2 linked regions of the Danio rerio genome follow. The protein of the gene in region 1 purifies or fractionates together with the protein of each later gene. This does not show direct contact. Links are inferred from orthologs where the notes say so. Each region holds a gene or a part of one and is shown on either strand. Other genes may lie near its edges.

Region 1 (4,623 bases):
AGTATGTACTGTGTTTGTGTGCACAGAGTGTGTATGTTGGTGTATAAAGTAGTATGTACAGTGTGTGTATGTGTAGAAAGACTGCAGGTCTGCTGTAGTTTGAGGTGTGTGTGACTCACTCACTCTACACAGGTGTGCAGTAGTGTATGCTCAGGTTAAGTGTGTGTGTGTGTGTGTGTGTGTGTGTGTGTATGTGTATGTGTGTGTTTGACTCACTCTACACAGGTGTGCTGTAGTCATGTATGCTCAGGTTAAGTGTGTGTGTGACTCACTCTACACAGGTGTGCAGTAGTGTATGCTCAGGTTAAGTGTGTGTGTGTGTGTGTGTGTGTGTGTGTGTTTGACTCACTCTACACAGGTGTGCTGTAGTCATGTATGCTCAGGTTAAGTGTGTGTGTGACTCACTCTACACAGGTGTGCTGTAGTGTATGCTCAGCTCCCCTGCTGTCGCTGATGTTCCTCAGACTGGTTTCCCCCTGCGCGTTCACGCAGCACAGCAGTGACGGACCCGCGCTCAGCTTCACCCTCCGCCAGTCTTTCAGCCCCACACAGAGCTCTCCATCCGCCAACAAATCCACCTCCAGCACCGCCTGAGCTCCAGCATCACTCCTGCTCAGAGCCTCCAGCATCCTGAAGATGGACAGCAGACGAGGAGGAAGAAGAAGAGGAAGATCAGCTCAGGAGCTTCCGCCGATGAGCGCGCATTATACAATAACAAACAGCACACTATGGAGATAAATAATAAACAGTCCTCGAAGATTAAACTGCAGGATTTAATCTGAAATACTGATACTGTGAGTTTCCGATCTAAACAAACCACAGCTGATCATCACATGACAACCACATGATCATAGCTACAGCAGGAGGACCAATCAAACCGGAAATAAACACTTCTACTTATGCGCGTTCATGGATAAATGAATGTAAATATCTATGATGCGCGTTCACTATGCTTATGTCAACTAACGTTACCTAAAATTATTTGCCGTGATTAGTAAATAAAAGTTTGGCTTTGTCTCTGTTTGAGTCTTTAATAAGAGCAATGTTTATTTTATGTATAATAATGCAGGTTTATTTAAACTAATCTAAATCTATACAAAACAAAATAAAGGAATTAATAAAAAAAATCAAATATTAACAATATTATCAGCAAAAATAGTGTAATTAAAATAAAAATTAATGTGGTGTTTTATGAATTTATACATTAAAAATGTTGCAAACTATAAATACTATTTTTTAATTAATTTAGCATGTGTAATACAAAACAGTAGAAGTATATTGACTAGTTTCTATGGATAATGTGTTGATATAAACAAAAATCCCCTTAATAAAGTGTATTCTATAGTCTTGGTATAAAATAATTAACGCCAAATTAATTAAAATGGTTTTTTAACATATTTTATAGTTTATTATTATTTCAAAATAACTATATAATATTTTAAAATAAATGGCATATAATCCCAAAAAACAACGCCAAAAAGTTTATATTTCCATCGACATTTCTTTGTTGATCACTCTGGTCTGCGTGAAAGAGGAAGAGCGGACGCGCATGCGCATGTCAGTGTCCGTGATGGAAATGATGGACCGGACCGGATCATGGAGCTTGTGTCCGGACTTTTGAGCAAAGCATTGTTTTTAACGGGACTTTCTAACGAGACGAATGACAAGAGACGAAAGAAGATGGAGGAGAAAGCGCTGGAGGTGTACGGTGAGCCCTGATGACCTCAATCAAGAGAAAAGTCTGTGGTGTTTTCATGGCACGATGACATTGTCAGGCGGAAATACTATAGTATTTTTATATATTACTATAGTACTGAATAATCATCTTCATGGTACTTTAAGTAGTGCCATATTACTACTTTGTTAAGTCAATAAGAAATGTGATACTGGATGTATTTTATCTGATACGTCAAAGATCATATTAACATACTGATAAACAGAAAACGGGGTATAACCATGGTACATAAATGGTGTCCGGTGTTAATGCCATGGTATTTTTGTGGTTGAGTCATTACCGTAATTATGTACTCTATTTTTCTGTCACCATGGTACATAGTTACAATTAAAAACTTGGTTTACTATGCTAAATTGATTGTGGTTGTTGTGATTGTGGTATTAAATCATTACCGTAATAACATACCATAATACTGAATCATTACCATAATCATTTACCACAGTATTTCCCACAAACTTTAAAAAATGGTCTCAAATTATCATTTAACATGGTAAAAACTGAAAAGTATGTAACTGAAAGGTATTAGCATAACCAGCAGTGATGATGCTACTTTGTAATACCATGCTATTTTCATATATACCATAATAATGAATCATTACCATAATCATTTACCAAAATATTTCCCTTAAACTTGAAGGAATGAAGTTCAACTGTTTATATTTTATTAATGTATCATAGTATTAGTATTGAATCATTACTGTAATAACATACCGTATTACAGAATCATTACCGTAATCATTTACCAAAATATTTCTCTTAAACTTTAAGAAATAAAGTTCAACTGTTTTTATATTATTAATATACCATAGTATTAGTATTGAATCATTACCGTAATAACATACCGTAATGCTGAATCATTACCATAATCATTTACCACAGTATTCCCTTAAAATTAAAGAAATAGTCCCAAATAATGATATAACATGGTAAAAACTGAAAAGTATGTAACTGAAAGGTATTAGCATAACCAGCAGTGATGATGCTACTTTGTAATATCATGCTATTATCATATATACCATAATAATGAATCATTACCATAATCATTTACCAAAATATTTCCCTTAAACTTGAAGGAATGAAGTTCAACTGTTTATATTTTATTAATGTATTAGTGTTGAAACATTACCGTAATAACATGCCATATTCCGAATCATTACTGTAATAACATACCGTAATACAGAATCATTACCGTAATCATTTACCAAAATATTTCTCTCAAACTTTAAGAAATAAAGTTCAACTGTTTATATATTATTAATATACCATAGTATTAGTATTGAATCATTACCGTAATAACATACCGTAATGCTGAATCATTAACAACAGTATTCCCTTAAAATTAAAGAAATAGTCCCAAATAATGATGGAACATGGTAAAAAACTGAAAAGGAAGGTAACTTAAAGATGCTAGCATAACTAGCAGTGATGATGCTACTTTGTAATACCATGCTATTATCATATATATATATATACCATAATAATGAATCATTACCATAATCATTTACCACAGTATTCCCTTAAACTTGAAGGAAAAGTCAAACTGTTTATATTTTATTAATTTTTCATAGTATTAGTGTTGAATCATTACCGTAATAACATACCGTAATACTGAATCATTACCATAATTATTAACCACAGTGGCGATCCAATGGCGCAGTAGGTAGTGCTGTCACCTCACAGCAAGAAGGTCGCTGGGTTGTTGGTTCGAGCCTCGACTCAGTCGGTGTTTCTGTGTAGAGTTTGCATATTCTGCCTGCATTCCGGTTTCCCCCACAGTCCAAAGACTGTGTGTGTGTGTGGATGTTTCCCAGAGATGGGTTGTGGATAAGTTGGCGGTTCATTCCACTGTGGGGACCCCGGATTAATAAAGCCGACAAGAAAATGATTGAACTAAACACAGTATTCCCTTAAAGTTTACGAAATAATCTCAAACTATGATGTAACATGGTAAAAACTGAAAAGCAACATAACTGAAAGATATTAGCATACCTAGCAGTAAATAATGTTAATTATTATAATACTGAGTCATTACCGTAATCAAATCAGTATCAAACGGTAATGACCAGTGTATTATTAAATAGAATATACAGTGTGTTTTGATAGCAAAACTCTGTTATTTGTCATTTTCTCTCAGATATTTTTCTGTTTAAGGTGAAACTCTTAATATGCTGATGTTGTTGTTTACACAGATGTGATTCGGACGATTCGTGACCCGGAGAAACCCAACACTCTGGAGGAGCTGGACGTGGTGACGGAGAAATGTGTGGAAGTTCAGGAGCTCGGAGACGATGAATATTTGATCGTCATTAAGTTCTCTCCAACTGTACCACACTGCTCTCTGGCCACGCTGATAGGTGAGTATGTGACGAGATAACACACACACACACTCAAACGGACATCACTGCACCACACAGATAGCAGGAGACACAATAAAGGAAACACTTCTTGTTAGGGCTGGGCGATATTGCAAAAAAAATACATTTAGGAAAATTATGATTTTTTTAACCTTTTTTTTAATTTTACAACATTACTAAGGCAAATAGTTTAAATAGTCAAAAATAAAAATATTTTAACTAAATATCTCTTTATAATAAAATAAACAGAAGTGTTAAAGAGACTCTCAAACTTAATAAATAAAATGTTACAAAGTGTGTGCAATGGTAAAGCGTAAATACTGACAAAAAACAGAAATGTGCGCACATCTAGAAAAATCTTGAAGGCAGGTGCACGATCAAAAAACAAACATAAGTAGCAAAAGATTCAAAGTAAATCGGCACACTGCCACTTTAGCTCTCAAAAAAATTTTAATGTCAAAATTACAAAATCACTGTGATTTTGTAATTTTGACATTAAAATTTTTTTGAGAGCTAAAGTGGCAGTGTGCCGAT
Region 2 (4,308 bases), on another chromosome or scaffold:
CTGCTATGTGACTTTTGTGGACACAAACATTGCAATATTGATGCTGAAACAATATGTTGTGCAGCCCAAATTGACTTGCATAGTATAAACAGCAAATATGGACATCAATGGTTATAGATTTAACGTTTTTTTTTTCAAAATATCTTCGTTTGTATAGAAAAAAATTAAAATAAACTCATAAAGGTTTTTGACAAGTAAAGCGAGAGTAATGATTATGTAATTATCAGTTTTGGATGAACTGTCAGGTTAGCAAAAAAACATAAACGATGAAAAATATCACCCTTGTAGATCATAAATGTGCATAAAGATCAAGTTATGTACTTATAATACATTTAAAAATAATGCAACACTTCGCAAATTCAAATGAGTGTCTAAAATGCATCAATAATAAAAGTAGATCAACAATATTTAGTGCATAAAATGTTTGCGTACAATTTTAACTTTTCAGCATCAAAGCTAAATTGTTTGTTGCAAAAATAAAACATATGACGCTATATTAATGCCTCACTGTTGTTACTATTATAGAAAATATCGAACAAGTGTACTTACTCTGTTAAAAAAAATTCTCGGTCCCTTTACTAGACGAGTTTAAAAGGCATATAGTCATACAGACATACATTTACTTCCGTACGGTGTTGATGGACCATCAAGCGAACGTGTTTTTGAGTTACCGCGACAAGCTTAACCAGTTTAACGTGTCGATTTTACAACTGCTCTTTTGCACAATTAATACATGGTGGTAAACATGTTTCTGTACTTGTCTACAAGAAACACGTTAACCCGCAAACGATGACAGTAAAAGTGTGCGCGTCACATCGACGCTTTACGGCAGGTAAGCAAACACTCCGCGGCTGTAACATGTGTAATATATGGGCATATAAACAATGCAATTCAGCGTGTCATGACAAATGTGACCCTGAACGACAAAAGCAGTCAATATATGTGTCTAAATATATTAGCCAAAAATACGCTGTCTAGGTCAAAATGATATTATTATTTATATAATATTGAAATGTTCCGTAATCTATCTATCTTGTAAAGAAAAATTGTCGACACTGAATGACTTCCCTCGACGTAACCTGACAGTTGACCTTTATAAAACTTTTTTCTTTAAGTCCCACCCTTTACCTCTCACTCTTTGTTTTGATTGGGCAGAGTCACTTAAGCGCTGTCTATGATTGGAGGATTCAGACGTCGTGCACTCAGCCCTACCAACCACCTCTGAGAAAAACGTCTAGCATTAAAAACAATGGCGTCGCATTTCAGCGGAGTGCTTCAGCTCACGGATCTGGATGATTTTATCACTCCTTCTCAGGTTGATTTGTTGTTTTTTCAGACTATAATAACATTATAAACGGATAAATTTATATAAATTCAGACCATTTACTGGTTCTCCGCTGAATGTATTTGTTGGTTTAAAAAAGCACCGGTCAGATGATCATGATATAAACTGATGTAACGTTAACTGTGGATATGGGTAACGTTAATTTGTATATAAGCGTTCTTGTCAAGTCTTGCAATGTCAGATACAGAAAATGACAGTAAAAACCTAACTTAGTGAGCTTAAATGTAACCAATGACTGTAAGAATGTATGTATTGAGGAGCCGAATACGCGAACATAAAGCCAACTTTACCCCTATTTATCCCTCTGTAGCCCTAATAAGTGCACTCAAACACACTAAAATAATTAAATGACATCGCAGTAGGTATCAGTATATAAAACTAAGTGTTTTATTTCTGAAAAAGACAGTGAAAACAGCTTTAAAGCAAATAAGTTAACGAATAAGCCATTATTGATTTTTAAAATGTCATAAAATGTCATACATTTTAACTATCACTGAAGTGTGAAGTTATTTTTGGCCACTGTAAGTACAGTACTTTAATAGTTTAAGTTACTTAAATGATATGATTTCACAGTTTTCGTGGGGTCTTTAAATGTTTTACATTTCAAAAACAAAATTGTAGGCCTTTAAGAAATTTTGTTTTGTAGGTCTTAAATAATTTTAAACAAGTCTTAATTTTCCTGTGTCTATCGGGCCGACCAATCAATAGTGATACTCAATAAAAACTGTAACTGTCTTCTGTACAATAACATTTTTTAGTTTTCCATAGACTGTTGCGCTTAAATTTAGTTAATTATCTTTTTTTTTCTTCTATGATTTACTAGATTTAGCTTGTTATGATGCCTTTAAACTATGTGGTTAAGAAATAACTCAATTAAAATTTTTTTCGATAAGGCAAGTTAAGATCTTTTTCATTGGCTTAACCATGCCATTAGGAAAAAACATTAGCGTTCAGCCCTGTTTAAGTCTGAAATTTGCTTTATAATGGTCTTCAAAAGGTCCTAAATATGACTCCTGAAACCTGCAGAAACCCTGTGTTTTGTGCAAATTAAAGCCATATTTAGTTGATCATAAATACTGTATTTAAATGAATTTTTTGAATATAATTTTGAGAAGAAAATTCTGAAAAAAAGTCTAATTTAGCCTTCAGTGTCACTTCTATTTATTCTTCGACAAATGAAAAAGACAGCAAAATAAAAACATGTATTTGAAATATCAATAATTTGTACAATTATTAATACCCTTTCTTACTCCTATAATCAATTTAATGCCCTTATGCTGAATAAAAGTAACTTAATTTCCCTGAATCACAGGAATGTGTGAAACCTGTGAAAGTGGAAAAGAAACAGGGTCGATCTGTGGCGAAAATCCAGATAGAAGATGATGGCAGTTATTTTCAGGTCCATCAGGTGAGTTTTGATTAATGTGACTTTTGTTTTGAGCCAGCATTTGACAAGAGATGATGGGCATATTAAATAAATGCTTGGTTCCCAGGATGGCCAAAGACAAAAGTTGGAGAAAGCAAAAATTACTCTGAATGACTGTCTGGCTTGCAGTGGCTGCATCACATCTGCTGAAAGTGTCCTTATCACACAACAGAGTCACGAGGAACTGTACCGCGTGCTACGTCATAATAAGGTGCTCGTTTCAGGTATTTAGCTACAGTTTTTGTCCCAGTAGAATAATTCATCTAAAACATGCTCGTGTCTGTCAGCAGCAGGTTAGCAGTACTGAGCAGAAGGTGGTGGTGGTGTCTGTATCGCCTCAGTCCAGAGCTTCTCTTGCTGCACACTATGGTATTGGCAGCAGTGAAGTGGCTCGTAAGCTCACCAGCTTCCTGAAACATTTGGGTGAGTTTGAGTCTGTAGTTTATATGAACAGCCATCATCCTATGGGAGACTTTATTTCTGGCCACAGAATTAAAAATATAATTTTACAATAGGGATGGTCCGATCGATTGGCTGATTGGCCGATATTCACATTTCACAACTTGATCGTTACTTGCTGATCTGGCCGATCTCATGAACTGCTCGCAAGTGGTTGTTTACAAGTTTACAAGCAGAGGAAGATGCACGTGCATGCCCGGGTTCTGCATCAGCACTAGGGATGGGTATCATTAAGGTTTTAATGGTATTACTACTTTTATCGATACCACTTACCGGTTTGGTACTTTAACAGTTCTCTTATTGGTATTTTTTGCAATGTTTTTTTTTTTTTTTTTTTTTTATGAAAAAAACAAAAGGAACAGAATTAACAACACTTTATTTTATTATTACGTTTTTAATGTAAAGTAAAATGAAACCAATAATTGTAAAAACAAATGAATAAATATTTTCCTGTAAAAGAATGTAGAATGATTGGAAAATGAAGGAAAATGACTCAGTTTTCATTGTAACTGACTGAAACTGTGTGTTTATTTAACTATTAAAATGATAATAATTTAGGTGATTGACTGCTGGCATAACAATGTGAATAATGCAATGTTACCGTTAGTAGCTAGGCAGTCCAAACTTTTCATTGATTTTCATTGCAGTTAATGCACTTTTGAAGGATACTTTCACTTAGCCAGATTGTTTGCGTTTCGGCGTATACAAGAAAACAACTTGTTGCGTTTGTTGCAGTGGGCATTGTCACTGTCCACTCAGAAAATACAGCCCATTTGGTTCACTCCGCAAGCTTACGAACTGTGTGTGTGTGTGCGCGAGTCTGTCGCGAGCTCTGTGTGTGCTCAACACGAGCCTCCGCTGAGTGTGTGAGCACAGCAGAGAACTGTGAAAGCTTTTAAACTTGACGAACTGGAAACACGAGCATTTCTCATGTGAGACTGCCAACTGTGCAGACGAAAATCAAATACCGCAAATTAGAAAAGGTTGGTCAGTTAAATTATGCTTCTGTAAGTAACGTTTATTTAGCAAAAATTCTCCAATACCGATAGCAGAATCGTTACCTTAGGAGCTTATCGAT

The links.
Region 2: the proteins of ciao2a (region 1) and narfl purify together in Homo sapiens (affinity purification with mass spectrometry; 4 studies listed by BioGRID and IntAct, with this or other methods). This does not show direct contact. The link is inferred for Danio rerio from reciprocal best matches to the Homo sapiens genes CIAO2A and CIAO3.

Annotation. Positions count from the first base shown.
Region 1 is NC_133200.1:1,559,776-1,564,398, forward strand, and holds the start of ciao2a (cytosolic iron-sulfur assembly component 2A), read left to right. Parts: upstream 1-1,572; 5' UTR 1,573-1,596; coding exon 1,597-1,708; intron 1,709-3,924; coding exon 3,925-4,089; intron 4,090-4,623. UniProt on the Homo sapiens protein: Component of the cytosolic iron-sulfur protein assembly (CIA) complex, a multiprotein complex that mediates the incorporation of iron-sulfur cluster into extramitochondrial Fe/S proteins.
Region 2 is NC_133178.1:17,536,871-17,541,178, forward strand, and holds the start of narfl (cytosolic Fe-S cluster assembly factor narfl), read left to right. Parts: upstream 1-1,223; 5' UTR 1,224-1,249; coding exon 1,250-1,315; intron 1,316-2,657; coding exon 2,658-2,753; intron 2,754-2,838; coding exon 2,839-2,982; intron 2,983-3,061; coding exon 3,062-3,194; intron 3,195-4,308.